Linked DNA regions of Macaca mulatta. The protein of the gene in region 1 binds, or shares a complex with, the protein of each later gene. Links are inferred from orthologs where the notes say so. Each region holds a gene or a part of one and is shown in the gene's direction. Other genes may lie near its edges.

Region 1 (5,917 bases):
TAGTAGAGATGGGGTTTCACCATGGTGGCCAGGCTGGTCTCAAACCCCTGACCTCCTGACCTCAGATGATCCACCTGCCTCAGGCACTGGTGATAGCACAGTAGTTCAGAGCAAGGGCGGAGCTGTATGCTGTGGCTCACATCTGTAATCCCAGTGCCTTTGGGGGCCAAGACAGGAGGATCTCTTGAGCCCAGGGGTTGGGGCTATAGTGAGTTGTGATCATACCACTACACTCCAGCCTGGGTGACAGTGAGACCCAGCACTTTGGGAGGTTGACCCGCCTCAACCTCTCAAAGTGCTGGGATTTTCTAATAAATTAAGAAAAAATTAATAAAAAATTTTAAAAAGAGCAGAGGTGAGATTGAAATGTAGATTTCACTACTTTTTAGCTGTGTGATCTTGGGCAAGTTACATAACTTCTCTGACCCTGTTTATCTGTAAAATGTTTCAAGGATCAAATGATATCACATGTTTGAAAAACTTGTCACAAAGTACTCAGGACATGTTAATAAGGATCACAGGCCGGGTGCGGTGACTCACACCTGGAATCCCAACACTTTGGGAGACTGGAGCAGGAGGATTGCTTGAGCCCCAGGGATTGAGATCAGCTTGGGCAATACAGGAAAACCCTATCTCTAAAAAAAAAAGAAAATTAAAAATTAGCTGGGTGTGGTGGAGCGTGCCTCTGGTCCCAGGTACTCAAGATGTTGAGGCTGAAAGATTGCTTGAGTCTGGGAGATTGAGGCTGCAGTGAGCCATGACTGTGCCACTGTACTCCAGCCTGGGTGATAGAACAAGACCCTGTCTCAAAAAAAAAAAAAAAAATTAAGGATCACAAATGAGCAGTTCCCTGCCACCAGAGTATAATGCCCTGTGCTGAGTTCCTAGAACAAAGAAGTAAATCAGACACAGTCCCTTCCCCCTTGGAAGGGACTTGCAAACAGCTAGCACCTGAGTCAGATTGTGAACTGTGCCACCGTAGAAGTCTCAACCAGGTGTGGAAGGTGCACTGTCCCAGGGAGGTGGTGTGTACATTAAACCCTGGAGAATAAATGGAGCTTCAAGCAGGAAGGAAAGAACATCCCACAGGCAAAAGGAACAGCAAAAGCAAAGGCACAGAGTTAAGAAAGTATGGAGTCTTCAGGAACCATTGGGATGCAGTCTTGGGGACAGAGGACAGGGAATAGATTTTAAACGTCCTTAAGTGTGAGGAGATAAAGAGTTTTGATTTTCCTCCAGGCAGTAGGGAATCTTGAAAGGGTTATCTATGGCCAGATTTTCCTTCCAACAGCGCTTGCAGGTTATGTTTGGAGAATGGACCTGAACTAGCCATCAGGCATAGGATGTACATTACTGGACAGAGTCAAGGGATATTTAGGGGTGACTGATTAGATAGAGGGGGTGAGGAAAACACAAAGTCCATGCTATCTCAGCTTTCTCATTTGGGTGCTTAGGTTTCTGGGGAACTGAGATTAGTAGGGATTGGGCCCAGTCAGTCTCATTCTTCCTCCTTCCCCAGTCTGGAGAGGTGTTGGTGAATGTTAAGGAGCACTCCCGGCAGATCAATGACATCCAGTTATCCAGGGACATGACCATGTTTGTGACCGCATCCAAGGACAACACAGCCAAGGTGAGCCTGGGCAGGGGTCTGGCAGGGCTGCTGCCTCCCTCCTGCTGCACAGCTCACCCTGCCCGACTTCCCCCAGGAAGGCTCTTTCTACAGATATCCCCCTTGCCTTCTCTCTCCAGCTTTTTGACTCCACAACTCTTGAACATCAGAAGACTTTCCGGACAGAACGTCCCGTCAACTCAGCTGCTCTCTCCCCCAACTATGACCATGTAAGAGAACCCCATCCAGCCTTCCTGCTAAAGCCTCAGGAAGCTTCCAAGTTCTAGATGCTTGTCCAGAAGTTGGGCTACAACATTGTGGGGGAAATGATGTCAGGCAAAGAGGAGATTCCCAGAGGAGTGACAAAGCTGGAAGGATGAATAGCCCCAGGGAAGCGGGCAGGAGGTGGCAGAAGTGTCTGATCATCCCCTACCTTTGGTATCCTCCCATTGAGCTGTGTGAGATGTGAAAAATGTATATGGCAGGAGAAAAACAGAAAATAGACTTGGTGTCCATCGGGCCCATCTAGAGTTTCTTCTTCCATTCAGGTGGTCCTGGGCGGTGGTCAGGAAGCCATGGATGTAACCACAACCTCCACCAGGATTGGCAAGTTTGAGGCCAGGTAAAGAGGAAGAGAGCTCTTCCAAATTGAAATCTCATGGGGTGCACCTTTTTTTTTTTTCCCCGAGACGGAGTCTTGCTCTGTCACCCAGACTGGAGTGCAATGGTGTGATCTCTGCCTCCTAGGTTCAGGCGATTCTCCTGCCTCTGCCTCCCGGGTAGCTGGGATTACAGGCACCCACCAACACACCTGGCTAATTTTTGTATTTTTAGAAGAGACAGGGTTTCACCATGTTGGCCAGGCTGGTCTTGAATGAACTCCTGGCCTTAAGTAATCTGCCCACCTTGGCCTCCCAAAGTGTTGGGATTACAGGCATGAGCCACTGTGCCCGGCCTTCATTATATTTCTCTATGCCCATATTTCCTCTATTGTATAATGAGACAGTGACAATATACTTACCATAAAATTATGCAGATTAAATTATTCAGTTAATATTTATTAAGCTCTTTAAGCACTGCCCAGCACGTAGTAGGCACTCTATAAGTATTAGCTATGAATTTAGGCAGACTTCTGGGTCCGGTCTTCCTCTTATAATAAAAAAGTTAAAAAATAAAGATACAGGGTCTCACTATGTTGCCCAGGCTGGCCTCGAACTCCTGGGCGCAAGTGATCCTCTGCCCTCAGCCTCCCAAAGTACTGGGATTACAGGCGTGAACCACAGCCCCCAACTTCATCTTATTTTGTTCACATTCACTTATTATCTCAATTTTTCTGCTTTATTATTATTTTTTGAGACAGGGTCTCACTCTGTTGCCTAGGCTGGAGTGCAGTGGCACCATTTCTGCTCACTGCAACCTCCTGGGCTCAAGCAATCCTCCCGCTAAGCCTCTGAGTAGCTCAGATTACAGGTGCACACCACCGTGCCTGGCTGCTTTTTGTATTTTTAGTAGAGATGTTGGCAAGGCTGGTCTCAAACTCCTGGCCTCAAGCGATCTGCCTTCCTCGGCCTCCCAATGTGCTGGGATTACAGGCATGAGCCGCCACGCCTGGCCTCAAATGCAAATTATATCACAAAAAATAAAGCAGAAGCCGAGTTCGTGACCAGCCTGGCCAACACAGTGAAACCCCATCTCTACTAAAATACAAAAATTAGCCGGGCGTCTATCATCCCAGCCACTCGGGAGGCTGAGGCAGGAGAATTGCTTGAACCCAGGAGGTGGAGGTTCCAGTGAACCGAGATTGCGCCACTGTATTCCACCCTGGGTGACAGAGTAAGACTCCATCTCAAAATAAATAAATGGGGCCGGGTGCGGTGGCTCACACCTGTAATCCCAGCACTTTGGGAGACTGAGACGGGCAGATCAGGAGAACAGGAGATCAAGACCATCCTGGCTAACACAGTGAAACCCCATCTCTACTAAAAATACAAAAAAGTTAGCCGGGCATGGTGGCAGGCACCTGTATCCCAGCTACTTAGGAGGCTGAGGTAGCAGAATGGCGTGAACCTGGGAGGCAGAGCTTGCGGTGAGCTGAGATCGCACCACTGCACTTCAGCCTGGGCGACAGAGCGAGACTCCGTCTCAAAATAAATAAATAAATAAATATAACAATTTGCATTTGGGGAGCGCCACCTTCAAAATGTTTTGGAAGGAAATGGAAAGTGAATTAATTGTGTCCCTTTTCCTCCAGGTTCTTCCATTTGGCCTTTGAAGAAGAGTTTGGAAGAGTCAAGGGTCACTTTGGACCTATCAACAGTGTTGCTTTCCATCCTGATGGCAAGAGGTAGGGTCCCAGTGAAGCAGCTGAGCTAAGCCTGGGTTGGGTCTCTGCCTCTCCTAGAGTAGGCACCTGACTGGTGCCTGGCTATCTTTTTCCAGCTACAGCAGCGGCGGTGAAGATGGTTACGTCCGTATCCATTACTTCGACCCACAGTACTTCGAATTCGAGTTTGAGGCTTGAGAAGCTGGATCTCCGGCCGGGCGTGGTGGTTCATGCCTGTAATCTCACCACTTTGGGAGGTCAAGGTGGGCGGATCACCTGAGGTCAGGAGTTTGGGACCAGCCTGACCAACATGAAGAAACCCCATCTCTACTAAAAATATAAAAATTAGCAGGGCGTGGTGGCACGCACCTATAGTCCCAGCTACTCAGGAGGCTGAGGCAGGAGAATCACTTGAACCCAGGAGGCGGAGGTTGCAGTGAGCTGAGATCGTGTCATTGCACTCCAGCCTGGGCAACAAGAGCGAAACTCCGTCTCAAAAAAATAATAATAATAATAAGCTGGATCTCTATCCGGGCCAGAGAAGATTCTCACAGAAGGTTTTGAACTCTAAGAAATAAATTGGTTTGGTAATAAATGGCTTCTGGTCAGATATTTTGTGGGGTCTGTTTTATCATCTTTCCTTTTCACTGACACCCCAGCAAGGGGATGCCGATCATGGAGACTTTTATTATTTAGACCTCCCTATACTTTGGACACCTCAAACTTAAGACCGTCCGTACTTTTGGCCAGCCTGGGTTGCAGGCATCCTCTTCCAAGGTGTAAAGGTCCTAAGGGGCCTGCAGAGGTTTCAGGAATGTCTCGGTTGCTGTCCAAGGAGCCAGTGCTTAGGGTGGGGGCTGAAGTAGTTGGCTGAGAGGCTTCTGTCTTCTCCCTTCCTGTCACTGTTTGCCACGCTCTTCCCCCATGCGGCTTCTGCAGGCTCAGGTGAGTGGGTCCAGCGAAGAAACAGGCCCGAGGAGGAGGAACACAGGTCAGGACGCTGAGCGGAGGGATAATCCCCCGTGGAGAAGGTGTGGGGCTCACCTTGCCCAGCCGCAGGCTCTGGGGCTCCACAGATGGCCAAGGGATTGAGGATGTAGAGTGGGTTCCGGAGTCTTTGTTGCTCTTTTGGCTGGCTGAGCCAAGACCACAGGGAGTGCGTCCGAGCCCTCACTTCACACGGGCATCTGCAGAAAGGCAGGGAGTAAGTTTCCAGCCCCAGGTATGCCCTCTGGGAGTCTGGGTGGGCAGCCCTGGTTAGTAGGGTGACAGCCACTTTGGAGCAGTGATAACCTCTCCTTTTCTCCTTTTTCTTGCAAACATTGCCAGTCAGATCTTGTACTGGGCACTAGAATAAAAGAGGAACAAGACAAAGTCCTACTTCTTAAGGAGTTCTATTTAAAGGGAGAAACCAATTTAGTTTTGCCTCAGTGTCAGAGAAGGCTAATTAAGAATGTGATGTTTGGCCGGGCGCGGTGGCTCAAGCCTGTAATCCCAGCACTTTGGGAGGCCGAGGCGGGCGGATCACAAGGTCAGGAGATCGAGACCACAGTGAAACCCCGTCTCTACTAAAACTACAAAAAATTAGCTGGGCGCGGTGGCGGGCGCCTGTAGTCCCAGCTACTCAGGAGGCTGAGGCAGGAGAATGGCGGGAACCCGGGAGGCGGAGCTTGCAGTGAGCCGAGATCGCGCCACTGCACTCCAGCCTGGGCAACAGCGTGAGACTCCGTCTCAAAAAAAAAAAAAAAAAAAAAAAGAATGTGATGTTTGAGCTGAGTCTCAACAGACCTAGCATACCCGCTGTGCAAAGCAACAGCCAACACTTGGGGAGAATGGCAGGAGCCAAAGAAAGAAGGAGGGAAAGGCCCACTGTGAATATTGATAGGCCTGGACCCAGGAGCTTTTGAAAGAAAACTGATAACAATGAAGATGCAGAGAAGAGTGAGGCAGCTGCTGGAGAATCCAGATGGGAGAGACCAGTGTGG
Region 2 (6,619 bases), on another chromosome or scaffold:
GTGAGCCAAGATCGCGCCACTGCACTCCAGTCTGCCTGGGTGACAAAGCAAGACTCCGTCTCAAAAAAAAAAAGAAAATCTTCTGACTTCACAACTCCTTCTCAAATGTCATGAACATTTTGAGAATTGTTGTCAAATTGGAGCAACCTGTATCAAATTCCTGTCATATATGGGCTATAAGATTTCAGGTAATTTCTTTTCTTTTTTTCCTTTCTTTTCTTTTCTTTTTTTTTTCTTTTGAGGCGGAGTTTTGCTCTTGTTGCCCAGGCTGGAGTGCAGTGGTGCGACCTCAGCTCACTAGAACCTCCACCTCCTGGGTTCAAGTGATTCTCCTGCCTCAGCCCATAGCTGGGACTACAGGCATATGCCACCATGCCCAGCTAATTTTGTATTTTTAGTAGAGATGAGATTTCACTATGTTGGCCAGGCTGGTCTCAAACTCCCGACCTCAGGTGATCCATCTGCCTTGGCCTCCCAAAGTGCTGGGATTACAGGTGTGAGCCACGGTACCAGGTCTTGGAGAAAGGTTATTATCATTTATTTATTTTATGTATGTATTTATTTTTTGAGACGGAGTCTCGCCGTGTTGCCCAGGCTGGAATGCAGTGGTGTGATCTCGGCTCACTACAACCTCCACCTCCCGGGATCAAGCGATTCTCCTGCCCCAGCCTCCCAAATAGCTGGGATTACAGGCGCGTGCCACTAGGCCCAGCTAATTTTTGTATTTTTTTTTTTTTAGTAGAGGCGAGGTTTCACTATATTGGTCAGGCTGGTCTCAAACTCTTGACCTCGTGATCCGCCCGCCTCGGCCTCCCAAAGTGCTGGGATTACAGGCGTGAGCCACGGCGCCCAGCCACTGGTTGTTATCATTTAAACTAGAAACTGGCTGGGCGCGGTGGCTCATGCCTGTAATCCCAGCACTTTGGGAGGCTGAGATGGGTGGATCATGAGGTCAGGAGATCAAGACCATCCTGGCGAATACGGTGAAACCCCAGCTCTACTAAAAATACAAAAAAAAATTAGCCGGGCGTGGTGGCGGGTGCCTGTAGTCCCAGCTCCTTGGGAGGCTGAGGCAGGAGAATGGCCTGAACCCAGGAGGTGGAGCTTGCAGTGAGCTAAGATGTGGCCACTGCACTTCAGCCTGGACGACAAAGCCAGACTCTGTCTCAAAACAAAAAACAAACAAACAAAAAAACTAGAAACTAAATGTCTCCCAAAGTTAGCTTGGTTTGAGCCAGGAATGATTAAGGGCAGTCTGGAGATTAAATGGAAGATGAGGGTTGGTTAGATCAGATCTCTTTCACTGTCATTATTTTCTCACTGTTATAATGTTTGCAAAGGTGGTTTCCGCAATAAAAATATTTCACAAATTTTACAAAAGCAAAGGACCATGAGGACATGAGACTGGGATTCTTCCTTGGTTCAGGGAGGGTCCTGAACCAAATCGAAGGTCTGTAAAGCTTAAGCTCCATTATTTCCAAATTTGTATCACCTCTGGTGACAGCGCAAGGAAGAAACAGAAAGCAATAACGCAGCATAGGGAGTTGGGGCCGGGCATTGCAATTCTAAATAGGAGGTCGAGTGAATGGCATCAGAGCAGACACCTAAAGATGCCACGCAGATATCCAATGGGGAAGGGAATGGGAGTGGGGGCACCGCTGCATTCGATTCTAGACTTGGATAACAGTGAGTGCAAAATCCCAGAGGTGGAGTGTGCCTCAGTGGGAAAAGCGAGGAGGGCAGCGTGACAAAGGGACCCAGAGAGTCCTGGTCACACAAGAAATCAGTGGTGGAACTAAGGTCCCTCCTTGACTCATACACTGGTTTTTATTGGTTTGTTTTATAACCCCATCTCTACTTTGACGGTTTCCCCCAGACTCGAACCCGGTGTACTCAAGAGCTGCCCCTGTCCCAGGCTTCGCGACACAGCTGGCCTCGTCTTTGCCTACTCCAACTTTAATGTCCAAAGTTGGGTGGCTCCTGTTTTCCATGCCCTCTTACTGCATAGGACCAAATCTCAATTTTTTTTTTTTTTTTTAAGACTGAGTCTTGCTGTGTCGCCCAGGCTGGAGTGCAGTGGCACGATCTTGGCTCATTACAGTCTCTGCCTCTCGGGTTCCACCGATTCTCCTGCTTCAGCCTCCTGGATAGCTGGGATTACAGGCGGACGCTACCACTCTCGGCTAATTTTTGTATTTTTACTAGAGATGGGGTTTACGACATTTTGGCCAGGCTGGTCTCGAACTCCTGACCTCAGGTGATCCACCCGCCTCAGCCTCCCAAAGTGTTGAGATTACAGTCATGAGCCATCGCGCCCGGCCAAATCTCAACTTTTATCCCCAGTAAGTTTAGTCTTGTTAAGTCCGAACGTTTTAATAATTTACTCACTGCAGGCAAACCGCTTACAACTAAATCCATCAGGTCCCCGTATCCGAATCTCCCTTCACGCGAGAAGCCGGCCATCTTTTGTGTGGCATTCTTTCTGGTTTCTGTAACTTTGCCCCTCCTTTACCCCAAATACGTGTCTTTATATCTGAATCTACACTAGTATCACAGATTCACCTTCTTTGAGAAGCCTCTATTTGAAGAAAAGAAAATTCAGGCTACTTGTAACCCTCTTATTATTATTTTTAGACGGAGTTTTCGCTCCTGTTGCCCAGGCTGGAGTGCAATGGCGCGATCTCGGCTCACCGCAACCTCCGCCTCCCGGGTTCAAGCAACTCTCCTACTTCAGCCTCCCGAGTAGGTGGGATTACAGGCATGCGCCACCACGCCCGGCTAATTATGTATTTTTAGTAGAGACGGGGTTTCTCCACATTGGTCAGGCTGGTCTCGAACCCCCGACCTCAGCCTCAGGTGATCCGCCCGCCTCGACCTCCCAAAGTGCTGAGATTACAGGCGTGAGCCACCGAGCCCGGAACCTCTTCCTTCTTGATATGGCTGTCTCAGATGGCCAGCGGCCTCGGAAAGGCTTCCGGTTTCCCGGCAGGCCCTAGGGGGGCCGAACTTCCGGCCTCAGGACGCAGGCGCGGGCCGCTCGTTTCGGTCTTTCCGGCGGTGCTTGTGAGCCCGGTAGCCATGTCGTATCCTGCTGATGATTATGAGTCGGAGGTAAGGTGGCCCTAAGCGCGCGGTGAACTTCACGCCGGGGAGATCTGTGGGACCTCTGGATGTGGGTCCCGGCGCGAGGCAGCTTCTGGGCCGCGGCCAGCTCCGGCCTACCTGCCGCGCGGCCCTCAGGCTGCTCCCTCTGTTCCCGGCCCCTAGACAACCCTGGCTCTGCCCGCCCATTTCGCGTGTCCGGTTCCCTTGTCCTTCCCCTTGCTAAGACCGGAGACCAAGGCTTGTTAGACATCTCTGTGTTTCTGCACCTGAGTTATTTTGGTGTGGGCTCCGTCAGGTCAAATCTCGCTGATTCCCACAGCCTCTTGTCCTTTGCACCCGTAATGTATTGTCATTGTCTGTTTACTGTCGCTTTTCTCTAAGGCGTGTGAGTTCCTCAAAGGCAGGCACAGTGTCTTTTTTTTTTTTTTTTTTTTTTTGAGACGGAGTCTCGCTCTGTCGCCCAGGCTGGAGTGCAGTGGCCGGATCTCAGCTCACTGCAAGCTCCGCTTCCCGGGTTCACGCCATTCTCCGGCCTCAGCCTCCCGAGTAGCTGGGACTACAGGCGCCCGCCACCTCGCCCGGCTAGTTTTTTTGTATTTCTTAATAGAGACGGGGTTTCACCGTGTTAGCCAGGATGGTTTCGATCTCCTGACCTCGTGATCCGCCCGTCTCGGCCTCCCAAAGTGCTGGGATTACAGGCTTGAGCCACCGCGCCCGGCCAGGCACAGTGTCTTATCCGCCTCTGTATCCTTAGCTCTCTGCTTGGCATCTAGACTCTAGGATGAGCGTTTTGAATTCACGAGTTGGCGACTTTCCTGACTGTCTCTTTCCTTCTAGGCGGCTTATGACCCCTACGCTTATCCGAGCGACTATGATATGCACACAGGTGAGACCACGGCTTAGGCTGGCTGAGTACTCGTAGGGATCGGTTCCTTTGGAATGTCTTAGAACCAGCTCTGACAGGCACCTGTTAAAAATTGTTCTTTGGTGGTCCAGGTTTGGAGTCAGTCATTACCTGCTGGTGCGTGGGGTTGTATAAAGCCTAATAAACCAGGCTTTTTATCATAGTCCACCTCAGTCTTGGAAGAGAAGGATTACTTACCGGGCTATGGTTTTCTTGTGTAAACTATTAGCCAAAGAAGAAAACCTTTTTTTTTTTTTTTTGAGATGGAGTCTCCCTCTTTCCTCCCCGGGGCTGGAGTGTAGTGATGCGATCTCTGCTCATTGCAACCTCCGCCTCCCGGATTCAAGCAGTTCTCTTGTCTCAGCCTCCCAAGTAGCTAGGATTACAGGCACCCACCACCATTCCCGGCTAATTTTTTACTTTTTTTTTAGTAGAGACGAGATTTCGCCATGTTGTCCAGACTAGTCTCAAACTCCTGACCTCAGGTGATCCACCCGCCCCAGCCTCCCAAAGTGCTGGGATTACAGGCGTGAGCCACTGCACCTGGCCCAAAGAAGAAAATCTTGATGTGAAAAATTTAATTCAAACCAAGCCCAGATGAAATCTTTTGAGAGGTTTCCTGAAATGTTACAGTGACTGGACTTAGTAGTCAGTGTTATCCATTGTTCTAAGTACGTTGTATGCAATATTTTGTTTAATTCTTACAGCGGTTCTGTACATTACTGTTGTCTCCTAAAAAAGAGAAAATAGGCCGGGCGTGGTGGCTCACGCCTGTCATCTCAGCACTTTGGGAGGCGGAGATGAGCAGATCACGAGGTCAGGAGATCTAGACCATCCTGGCTAACACGGTGAAACCCCATCTCTACTAAAAATACAAAAAAAAAAAAAAAATTACCCGGACATGGTGGCAGACGCCTGTAGTCTCAGCTACTCAGGAGGCTGAGGCAGGAGAATGGCTTGAACCCAGGAGGCGGGAACTTGCAGTGAGCGGAGATTATGCCACTGCACTCCAGCCTGGGGGACAAAGTGAGACTGTCTTTAAAAAAAAAAAACAAAAAAAGAAGAGAAAATATAGCACAGAGATTTAATACTAACTTGCCACAAGTCATATATTTAGAAGGTGACAGTTATTCATTCAAGAAATATTAAATACCTGTTACCACTTACATTCCAACAGTCTTGCCTCTCTCCCCTCTAACTCATACTTTTCTAGGCCCTGAGGGTACATCTGAGTACAAGACAGACAAGATTCCGACTTCCTAGACTTGGGAGAAGGGTGCAAAACAGATAATAAGTGAAAAATAACTTTAAGTCGTGGTAATATTTTTGAAGAAACAGGGACAATGAGATTGGGAGTGACTTGAGATGTTTGTATCTCTGAGTGTTCAAAAGGGAATTTTACTCAGACCTGAGTTTAGTTTCTGGGGCGGTCTTGCCATTTTGTTCTATCATGTATGTGGGTTTGAAAGCACTCTGTGTTTGTTTTATCCAACCTCCAGGAGATCCAAAGCAGGACCTTGCTTATGAACGTCAGTATGAACAGCAGACCTATCAGGTGATCCCTGAGGTGATCAAAAACTTCATCCAGTATTTCCACAAAACTGTCTCAGATTTGATTGACCAGAAAGTGTATGAGCTACAGGCCAGTCGTGTCTCCAGCGATGTCATTGACCAGAAGGTGTATGAGATCCAGGACATCTATGAGAACAGGTATGGACTACTGGCTGAAAGGCCCTCTTTCTGGGTGGGACTGGCCTGGTATTACAGTTCCTACAAATGGGGCGAGCACTTTGTAAACAGTGCTTGGGGGGGTGGTCTTTGTGAGTCCTTGTGGCTAGGGACATTTTATTTTGTTAGACTTTATTTTATTTATGTGTTTGTTTATTATTTTTTGAGACGGAGTGTCATATGTTGCCCAGGCTGGAGTGCAGTGGCAAGATCTCGGCTCACTGCTACGTCTGCCTCCCGGGTTCAAGTGATTCTCCAGCCTCAGCTTCCCGAGTAGCTGGGACTACAGGCATGTGCCACCACGCCTAGCTACTTTTTTTTGTATTTTTAGTAGAGAGAGAATTTCATCATGTTGGCCAGGCTGGTGTCAAACTCCTGACCTGAAGTGATCCACCCACCTCAGCCTCCCAAAGCGCTGAGATTACAGGTGTGAGCCACCGCGCCTGGCCTAATTTTTGTACTTTTAGTAGAGACAGGGTTTCATCATGTTGGCCAGGCTGGTTTTGAACTTCTGACCTCAAGTGATGCACCCCCTTCGGCCTCCCAAAGTGCTAGGATTACAAGCGTGAGCCACCATACCCGGCCTGTTGGACTTTATATCCTCAGAAATTTGTACAAAGCCTAAAATAATATCACTATTAACAATTGTAATAATAGTGATTAGCGTTTATTTTATTTATTTATTTTTTTTGAGATGGAGTCTCGCACTGATCCCCAGGCTGGAGTGCAGTGGCTTGATCTCGGCTCACTACAAGCTCTGCCTTCCGGGTTCTCACCGTTCTCCTGCCTCAGCCTCCCGAGTAGCTAGGACTACAGGCACCTGCCACCACGTCCGGCTAATTTTTTGTATTTTTAGTAGAGATGGGGTTTCACCGTGTTAGC

Evidence for each region. The genes of interacting proteins can lie anywhere in the genome.
Region 2: EIF3I (region 1) and EIF3L share a complex: the UniProt entries of both Homo sapiens proteins name them as parts of the eukaryotic translation initiation factor 3 (eIF-3) complex. The link is inferred for Macaca mulatta from reciprocal best matches to the Homo sapiens genes EIF3I and EIF3L.

The regions. Positions count from the first base shown.
Region 1 is NC_133406.1:208,650,345-208,656,261, reverse strand, and holds the end of EIF3I (eukaryotic translation initiation factor 3 subunit I), read left to right. Parts: intron 1-1,519; coding exon 1,520-1,630; intron 1,631-1,749; coding exon 1,750-1,839; intron 1,840-2,157; coding exon 2,158-2,231; intron 2,232-2,646; exon of another isoform or gene 2,647-3,860; coding exon 3,861-3,953; exon of another isoform or gene 3,954-4,048; coding exon 4,049-4,130; 3' UTR 4,131-4,540; downstream 4,541-5,917. UniProt on the Homo sapiens protein: Component of the eukaryotic translation initiation factor 3 (eIF-3) complex, which is required for several steps in the initiation of protein synthesis.
Region 2 is NC_133415.1:13,662,767-13,669,385, reverse strand, and holds the start of EIF3L (eukaryotic translation initiation factor 3 subunit L), read left to right. Parts: upstream 1-3,047; 5' UTR 3,048-3,078; coding exon 3,079-3,111; exon of another isoform or gene 3,112-3,133; intron 3,134-3,803; exon of another isoform or gene 3,804-3,942; coding exon 3,943-3,991; intron 3,992-5,427; exon of another isoform or gene 5,428-5,459; coding exon of another isoform or gene 5,460-5,508; coding exon 5,509-5,719; intron 5,720-6,619. UniProt on the Homo sapiens protein: Component of the eukaryotic translation initiation factor 3 (eIF-3) complex, which is required for several steps in the initiation of protein synthesis.